2 linked regions of the Schizosaccharomyces pombe genome follow. The protein of the gene in region 1 interacts with the protein of each later gene in a biochemical or structural test. Each region holds a gene or a part of one and is shown in the gene's direction. Other genes may lie near its edges.

Region 1 (5,091 bases):
ATTGCGAGATAGGCTCATTTCCATAATTTAGCAGCATGTAAGCATCACGAAAAGTAAGAGCAGTTAAATAACGGTTTTTATTTGATCAAAAAGATGATAATTATGATTACTGTGATAAGAAATGGGCATAACGCTCAATGTCTACGTTTCCTCCACTTATAATGATACCAATTCGTTTATTCTTTAGCTTTTCCTTCATAGCGCGCGCTGCCGCAAAGCTAAGACATCCAGTGGGTTCGACTACAATTTTCATACGTGCGGCATAAAACTTAAGACAGTCAATTAGTTCCTCGTCGGACACAGTCAATATATCATCGACCTTTTCTTTTATAATGGAAAACGTGTAGTTACCCAAATGTTGAGTTTGAGCACCATCGGCTATAGTTTTTGGTGTATCAATATGTACGATAGATCCTTTCCTAAAGGACTGTTGCCCATCGTTTCCAGCTTCAGGTTCAACTCCATAAACTTCGCAGTTTGGAGCAAAATGGCGAGCAGCAAGTGCTGATCCAGAAAGCAAGCCACCGCCTCCGAGACAAACAAAAAGTGCATCAAGAGGGCCAACCTCTTCAAACAGTTCCTTAGCTGCGGTTCCTTGACCAGCAAGTACATGGGGGTGATCGTAAGGAGGGATAATGGTAAGACCTTCTCTTTCAGAAATTTCTTTGGCCATCTTTTCTCTATCATCTTTGTATCTATCATACATGATTACTTGACCACCATAGCCTTTCGTGGCAGCGACCTTGGCTTCGGGTGCATCGAGTGGCATAATGATTTTTGCTGGAATTCCCAAGATCTTTGCCGACAGTGCAATGGCCTGAGCATGATTACCAGAAGAAAACGTCAAAACACCAGCTTTACGTTGAGCTTCATTGAGTTGAGAAAGAGCATTAAGGGCACCGCGAAATTTGAAAGCACCCATTTTTTGGAAATTTTCACATTTAAAAAACACTTCTGCCACAAACTCTTTATTTACTGTGCTCGACGTGAGTACTGGGGTTTTGTTGGCGAATTTCTTAATTCGCTCACTAGCTGAAGCAACATCATCATAGGTAGGAAGCACCAGGTTATCGCTCATTGTCGTAGTTTTTTAAAAATTTAAAAAGAGTGAAAATATCCTTTTATTCTGTAAACTATTCAGTCTTAAAATGCAAACTGAAGAATTTAACGACAATGAGAGATGTCAAATCAAGCAGAGCTCTCGATCATTTATAGAGAGAACCGTCAACTGTAACGCTATCTTATCTTTACTATGAAAAGAAGGTCAAAAAATGCGAGCCCAACTCGGAAACGAATTTATAGGCGACAATTGTAAAGACACTTACACAATTAGAACCAAATGGAAATGAAACAGCAGGACGGAGCTCCAACTTGCTAGTTCATAAAACAGTGACATGTAGCATAGCGAGTATAATGCTAATCACTATTTGTAGTATTCCTCTGTAATAAATGTTAACATTATATAGTGAGAATTTCAAGATGTAGAAACAGTCTGTTAAGAGTGTCATAGAATATAACGAAAATGCATGTATAACAATTGTTTCGACTCATTGAGTGCCAGAATAGTAACGTCTTTCTACCTTTAGCGTGATGAACAGTCATGCAGCATTGGTTAAATATATCAATAGTTTGAACCAAGCCTCGTTAATTTCTGTAAACTGTATCTGCTCAGCAATGGACTTGACTGCAGCTTAAATCAGTTTAGAAATAAATATCCAACAAACGGTGTTTTGACTTTCACATTACTATGCATATAACTCGTTACTAAAGAGTTCTTTTTTTTTATGAGAAATCTTAATCAAGAATGAAAAAGCTGATAATTAATGCTAAAACAATCGCAGAATTATATAATCCGTCATGGTCCAGTGGCTAGGATTCATCGCTCTCACCGATGCGGCGGGGGTTCGATTCCCCCTGACGGAGATTTTTTATCGTGTACTTTTCTAAATTGATTGAGAAATACGATAATTTATTATCAACTACAATTGTTAATTCACTTTTCGGTCCTTTTCTTTTGGTGTTACTCTACTTACTGAATTCTTTTCTTTTCTTGTTAGTTAGCACTGTCTCCTTCTGAAGCGTTAATATTGTAAGTATTCTATAACTAGTATTGAATAGTTCACTGTATATCGTTATTCGGTAAACAAACAGTGGACACATTGAAAAGAATAAAAAACAGATACTAAATATACTTTTAAGCCTGTGGTATTGGGATGATATAGAATATTCTGTTTGTTTTCCTTTTATTTATTTTGTTGAGAACGATACATGTCGTTTTTTTTAATAACATTTGTAGAATCGAAGTGGGTTCGTATGCTAAATAAATTCGTTCATAATTTCCATGTAAATAATCTTTGAAACACCCTTTGAGTATTCATAAATAACAACGGGAATCAGAGCCTCCTTCTTAGTTTGAAAGAAAGGAAGATAATAGCAGGCTGTGTTAAGACTCAGTAAACATGGTGTTACCTCAAAATGTAAACAACAACGCTCCTACTTCTGGACGAACTTGTCAAAAGCCAACATCAGCGTTTTTTTACGAAATAATGTCAGATTCAAAGTTGGCAGATTCTTTGAATTGCCTTTCTGTGTCAACTCCATCAACCACAGCTAATCCTGGGAGACAACAGCTTTTACGACTTGCAGTATCAAACCAACGACAAGTAAATAATGTTAGTCTAGCAAATGGGAAGGAAAACAAACGGACTTCAAATAGCAAGTTCAATTCTTCCCTTCGTAAGATAGAAGAGCCAATTGCTGGAGTACCTTCATCAGCTGGTCCTCAATGGCGAGAATTTCATATTGGAATGTTTGAAATTGGAAAACCCTTAGGGAAAGGAAAGTTTGGAAGGGTATATCTAGCTAAAGAGAAGAAGACCGGGTTTATTGTGGCTCTCAAAACATTGCATAAGTCTGAACTTGTCCAGTCAAAGATAGAAAAGCAAGTTCGACGAGAAATTGAGATTCAATCAAATCTTCGCCATAAAAACATTTTACGGCTATATGGGCACTTTCATGATGAAAAAAGGATTTATTTGATTTTAGAGTTTGCTGGCAGGGGTGAGTTGTATCAACACTTGCGTCGTGCAAAACGATTCTCAGAAGAAGTTGCGTCTAAATATATCTTCCAAATGGCTAACGCCTTATCCTACTTGCATAAGAAGCATGTAATACACCGTGATATCAAACCTGAGAACATTTTATTAGGAATTGATGGAGAAATCAAGCTTTCTGACTTTGGTTGGAGTGTCCATGCACCTTCTAACCGTCGTACCACTTTATGTGGTACATTAGATTACTTACCACCTGAAATGGTGGAGGGAAAAGAGCATACCGAAAAAGTTGATCTCTGGTCGTTGGGTGTCTTAACTTATGAGTTTTTGGTGGGAGCACCGCCTTTTGAGGACATGTCTGGTCATTCAGCTACGTATAAGCGTATCGCCAAAGTTGACTTAAAAATTCCAAGCTTTGTTCCTCCTGATGCACGGGATCTTATTTCTCGTCTATTACAGCATAATCCTGAAAAAAGAATGAGTTTGGAACAAGTTATGAGGCACCCTTGGATTGTAAAATATAAAGATTCATGGACTCGCAAAAGTTCTGAATCTTCCTAACCGCCATCTTGGTACTTTTTATTTAATTTTTCCTTCTTCTCACTACATTTTTGCATTACTACTTTCTTTTTGTTTCAGCGCTCTTTTTAATCGCGCAGCTCACTATATTCCTTCAGAACTTTTTTGATCTTTGGGGGTTATGGAGGTTTAATTATATGTAATATAACACACTCATTTAATAGAGGATCACCACCATAAACTAATCGTTTTCCAGATTTTCTTTTCGAAATCACTTAGAAGACATTCATTTTCCTAATAAAAACTATTTAAAAATTTATCATCACTTTAGCCAAGCTAATAATAACTTCCAAAAAAACTGTTACAATATGTATAAAGATAAAGTACGCCAAGCACATAATAAGTTGCATAACAAGTGAGAAGTATGCTTCGATATTTTTTAAAAGCCAACGTAAATGCTGTACGGGATATTATAAAATGGGAGGGGAAGGGAGTTGACATAATAACTATCTGACTTTTGTAAACTGGTATTTCAATAGACTAGACGAAAGAATGAATAGTTAGTACGAAGAAAAAAATGAATGAACAAAACTACAGCGAACGTACTTTTTTCAAAAGGCCTGAAATCGTTGAAACAGGAATTGAACACTTCTTCAACGATTGCTTCTGCTTGCTCTTTGCTTTTACAATTCGGGTTACCTTGTACGGAGATAGTAGCTCGTCGTTTGACGCATTCTTGATGATGCTTCCGAAAAGTTTTAATGTTACCAAAACGAAGTTCTTTGGTCCAGCGACACTCACCACTCATACTACTAGCACGAATTTCTGAACAAGCCTGATGTCTCAAATTGTTCCAATCGACTTCAAACCTGTGGTCGTCAAACATGTGTATCATTTCATGGGCAATTGTATTCTCTGCCATTTTTTTAGTATAAAGTCTGTTTTCACACAGAACTATCCCTTTACCGGGAATGTAACCTCCAGTACTTTGTGCATCACAAGGCTGGCAAGAAATGTCTTTAGCTTCAATGTTGCAATTCAAACGATCCAAGGCAGTTTTTAAAAAAATAATTACTGGAGATTGGGACATTAAAGCGCGCTTTACGCGCTCACAATTTTTCCTCTCTTTCGACCAACTTTGTGGATCTTCGCTCATATCTAAATGCACGTTTCCTTAATTCTTATAAAAAGGCCTTCAAAGGAGTTTATGGAGACAACAAACGATATCTCTAATAAATGTCAATTAATAAATTTTACCTGTACAACATTAGGTGGTTGAGTAGCAATTCGCATGAACAGGCGAAACCCCGAAAATAGTGATCGACAGAGGGAAAACACTAGTGAAGTTCTTCGTAAATATATAAGAAAGATTACACCCTTTCCGAGCCCATGGACTGCAAAGTGAGGGAGTATCGACTTTTTTTCCTATTCACAGTCTGCTGAACCCTGCTATGTGTATCAGATTGCAAGCTCTTTCACATAAAACAGTACAACGCAAAAGTTTTGCAGTTTATAACGT
Region 2 (4,454 bases), on another chromosome or scaffold:
CTTCTTTTAATCACTTCAATGCTGCCGGCCATCCCACTGGTAACATTACCCCTACTTTGAATTCCCCTAATAACGGCATTCATTGTCATTCTACTTCTGCCCTAGACTTATTGTTTCATCGCGATCGTGAACAGCGCTTGTTCCGTATGCTGCGTCAAGGAAGTGCATAGTTTCATTGGATGCTTATTTATGTCTAAGGACATATCACCTTTTTAAGCCTCGTGTTCTGTTCTAACTATTCCACTTTTTTGTTTCACCTTCTTTCGTCTCCGCGTTTATCTACACGTGTTCGTTGTAGCACTATTTATTTGAACATTGGCCAAGAGAATTTATCATAGTCTAGTATTTTTGCTAGTATTATGACTTTCTTACTATCACCCTATGTACCTCTGTCTTTCTGTTTTTTTGGATTATAGAATTTAGCTCTCTATATGGGTTAATTTTGTTTCCTTCGCTTTTGGTTTTTAGAGGATTTCATACAAAAGCTACTGAATTCCTTTTCTAACGGCTTATAGTTAAAAGAAATGCCAACGTTTTTAATGGATTTCTTGGATTTGAAATCTTGATTTTTATTGACTAGATTTCCTTAACTTCATCTTATTCCTTGTTAGTTAATTGAGCGAGCAATTCATTTATAATATGGAAATGTTCGTCAATGACTATTTATCGAAAATGTGCCTCGTTTACTTTTCGATTTGTATGCTTAGAATGGGCATTTGTTACCTTTTTTATGAGCGTTGGGTGTTATGATCTGCATATTGCATTAATTTTATTCTGGCTAGTTTTTATTATGCTATTAATAATCTCGTTGTGCTTTTATCGAGATTTGTTTGAAACTTGTTTCACCGGTCTCGTACATTTTTTTCTCTTGTGTTTTTTTCTTTTAATTTTCCTAATTATTACTGACGTGTTGCCTATTGCTTTGCGATGACAGTACATCTTATTTTCCTGTGTCGAGGATTATAGTTATAATCTTCTTTTCCTCTCATGAACTTGGCTTTGGTTGCCAACCTTTTAAACTTTCGTCCATGATATACATGATGTTTGCTAATATAAGTGATATTTATGTGGTCACCTTTTTTGGCGAATGTTGTAACCTATCTTCTACGCTCAAGGAGTACATGCAATGTGCTTTATGCTTTTTTTTTTTTGAATGTTTGCAATTTTCAAGCCCTCGGTTTTTGAGCTTTCATTGCTAGTCAAGATAGTCAACTTATCGTTGATTATAATATCTTTCACTCGCAAATCGTTTTTACGTAAAGACTGAATTACGGCAACATTTATTGCTCTTATTTGTAAATAGTTTTGGAATCATTTCTTTTTAAAACTTTAAATTTATCTCTTTCCTTCATTGTTTACAAATAATGTTGCATTAAGTGGTGATTTAGTTTTTCTAATATAAACACATATTTCCGTCACTGATGTGTCGCGTTTGTGTATTTATCCACCTGATATGTGCAACAGTATTAGAAGGCACGGTTTTTCTGTGTGTTGACGATACCTGTTTACACATTCCTTTTAATCCACTTCCTTTACTTCTTTTCCGTTTTTTTTTTATTTTTATTTTTATTTTTTTTTTTTTTGCTGAAGATGGACTTATATTACCTGCATTTTTTTAGTTAATATAGAATTCATTGAAAACAAATTTTCGGCGTGTGTAGATTTTTTATAATTTTTTTGTTGATTTAGATAAGTCATTGTTTTGTTCAGCTCAATGCGCGAGTGATATGTTTGGTTTTACACTTGTTGGTTTAAGCGGATCGTAAGTTCGTAAATATGCGTTATCTTGTTTAAGCAAGGTAGGTTAGATCTGATAGTTATTTGTAGCTACCACCAAAAGCAAATTTCTCAAGCCATTATTTTTTGTCGAAACCCAATATCTGGTAGACTAGCTTTTTCATCATTCATGCCTACTTATTCCAAAAGGAAGTCTAGAGGCTCTTTAGAGGTTTCTGAGAAAACCAATCAACCCAAATTCATAAAGAGAAGTCAATCGAGTGAAACAATAACGTCAGGTGAAACTGCTAGTGAATTGATGCAAGATGAAAAGGAGCAGAGTAATGGTGCAGTAGGTTCTATTGAAGATGAAGAATTACAACGACTTCGTGAGAATCAAGCTTCTGTTGAAGCTCTTTCGAAAAAGCCAGAGTCTATCGATCGAGAGTTGGGTGTTGAGGCTTTAGAAATAGATAATGTAGTAAAGTCAGATGAAGAAAAGGAGGATCCCAATGGTGCTTCTTCCAAAACCGTCAAAGCTCGTCCACTTCCTGCAGGGTCGGTTCATCGTGTTACTACCCATATGGCGCCAATACCAGCGAGGTCAATTGGTTCTCATGATACTACAACACAGCGTTTGATTGTCGTATTGGACCAAGCATGTTTGGAAATTTATAAAGTTGGCAAGGCTAAGGATGCAAAATATCAACTTCTAAATTGCGATGATCATCAAGGTATTTTAAAAAAGTTAAACCGTAACATTGCTCAAGCGCGTCCTGATATTACTCATCAATGCTTATTGACTCTTTTGGATTCTCCACTGAATAAGGCAGGTCGTCTTCAAGTGTACATTCACACAGCTAAGAAAGTTTTGATTGAAGTGAATCCCTCTGTTCGTATTCCTAGAACTTTCAAACGTTTTTCCGGTTTGATGGTGCAGCTTCTTCACAAGCTCTCTATTCGTAGTGTGAATGGCAATGAAAAGCTTCTAAAGGTGATCAAAAATCCAGTTACAGACTACCTTCCTCCGAACTGTCGAAAGGCAACATTATCTTTTGATGCTCCTACTGTTCCTCCTCGCAAGTATCTTGAGACTTTACAGCCCAACCAATCGGTTTGTATTGCAATTGGTGCTATGGCTCATGGTCCGGACGATTTTTCGGATGGTTGGGTTGACGAAAAAATCAGTATTAGTGACTACCCTCTGAGTGCAAGTATTGCTTGCTCTAAATTTCTTCATTCTATGGAAGACTTTCTAGGAATTGTATAATTATTAAGGTAAAAATTTTTGCATTGTCTTCATTGTTATTCAGCTTATATCCTGTGCTATAGATATTCACTTTTTGATATAGCTTGAATTTTTTGGTACGTTTCGTACTTTACATTTTCTTTAGAGAGTATTAGAATAAAATAACAACTATAATTCTAGCTTCTGCAATTACAAAAAGAAAGGAAACAATTTATCACACTACAAGGCATTGAATTAAACCATTCCATACACTTTTAAAGTTTGGGAATTACAACCTAAGACAAACTCTTAATACTCACCGATAAAATAATTCGGTAATATTGAATGACTCACAACACTATGAAGCTCAATATGAGAAATAGATGGATATTTGCTTAGAATTAGACAGATGATTAAACCAAATTATTCATAAATAAGCAATCCATTCGTTAAAAATTCCAAAACCTAAGTACATTCATACTAAATAGAGAAAATGATAAATAACAAAAAAGGTACAACTAAATGAAAGAAACGAAATAACAACCAGTAAATCACAAACACAACAAACTGAAAACAGTTCCTCAATTATGTTAGGAGCAATTTAAGGAAATTATCGTTTTCTCTCATTCCTCCACTTGTATACCGGTTTTCCGTTTACGACCTTCTTTTTCTGACGGCCTCCTTTTCCCTGTAAAAGTCTATCAAGCTCGACACGTTCTTCAGCAGCCGCCAATTTTTTGTCGCGTTTCTGGCGCAAAAGAAGCTCGGTCGCCGCCTTTTCTTTTAATTTTGAGTGCAATTTTCCAGAAAAAGGCTGGTTTGTCAGTTCATTGTTTTCAATTTGATCTTTCTTTACACGATTTTCGGTTCGACCAACCAGATCATCTGTAGTTTGGAAAAATTCAGCTGGGTTAAAACTTTTTGCCTCTTTAACATTGTCTACGAAGATGGTGTGCTTCCTGGATTCATTTTTATTCCGATGAGCTCCCACAGTATGCATTTGTTGTTCCAAATGATCAATTTTAGCACGTTCAACATTGCGATGATGCCGAATCCAGCCAATGTCTTGAGTTTTCAAAATTTTGATTGTGTCCATATCGATGGTTGAATCCTCGCGCTGTTCAAGGGGTACTCCATTTTTGGTCTTTTTGTGTGTCATTTCATGATAAAACTCATCAGGGTTTCTTTCAAGGGCTTTTTCACGAAGACGTTTTAACTTCTTTTGCTTTGTCTTATAATCCTGAGCACGCTGCGCATAATCCTTTCGTTTCTCTAGCAAACCCCATTTTCGTCTTTCAAAAGGCTGAGCTCTTTCTCGATGATTTTTCCTTTGACCTGCATTTTTAAAAGACGAAGACATCTTTAAAAAAGTTATGGTTAATGTTTGGCTGTTTGTCAAAGAACCGAATTATTGGCTTTTAGCAGATTCGCCTCTGCAAAATATTTGTGTTTAGGGCACTACAAGTGTTAGCGTGCAATGTGCTCAGGACGTTAAGATACGCTATTACCC

Evidence for each region.
Region 2: of the proteins of ark1 (region 1) and mra1, one has a biochemical effect on the other in vitro, tested with the Schizosaccharomyces pombe proteins (one study listed by BioGRID).

Annotation. Positions count from the first base shown.
Region 1 is NC_003421.2:139,116-144,206, forward strand, and holds ark1 (Aurora-B kinase Ark1), read left to right. Parts: upstream 1-2,514; 5' UTR 2,515-2,546; coding exon 2,547-3,614; 3' UTR 3,615-3,923; downstream 3,924-5,091. Other genes in the region: serine racemase Sry1, read right to left, coding at 107-1,078; peptidase Atp23, read right to left, coding at 4,105-4,112, 4,179-4,728. UniProt on the Schizosaccharomyces pombe protein: Component of the chromosomal passenger complex (CPC), a complex that acts as a key regulator of chromosome segregation and cytokinesis.
Region 2 is NC_003424.3:2,228,865-2,233,318, reverse strand, and holds mra1 (rRNA (pseudouridine) methyltransferase Mra1), read left to right. Parts: upstream 1-1,865; 5' UTR 1,866-1,906; coding exon 1,907-2,986; 3' UTR 2,987-3,356; downstream 3,357-4,454. Other genes in the region: protein Edc1, read left to right, coding at 1-170; U3 snoRNP-associated protein Utp11, read right to left, coding at 3,555-4,304. UniProt on the Schizosaccharomyces pombe protein: S-adenosyl-L-methionine-dependent pseudouridine N(1)-methyltransferase that methylates the pseudouridine corresponding to position 1189 (Psi1189) in S.cerevisiae 18S rRNA.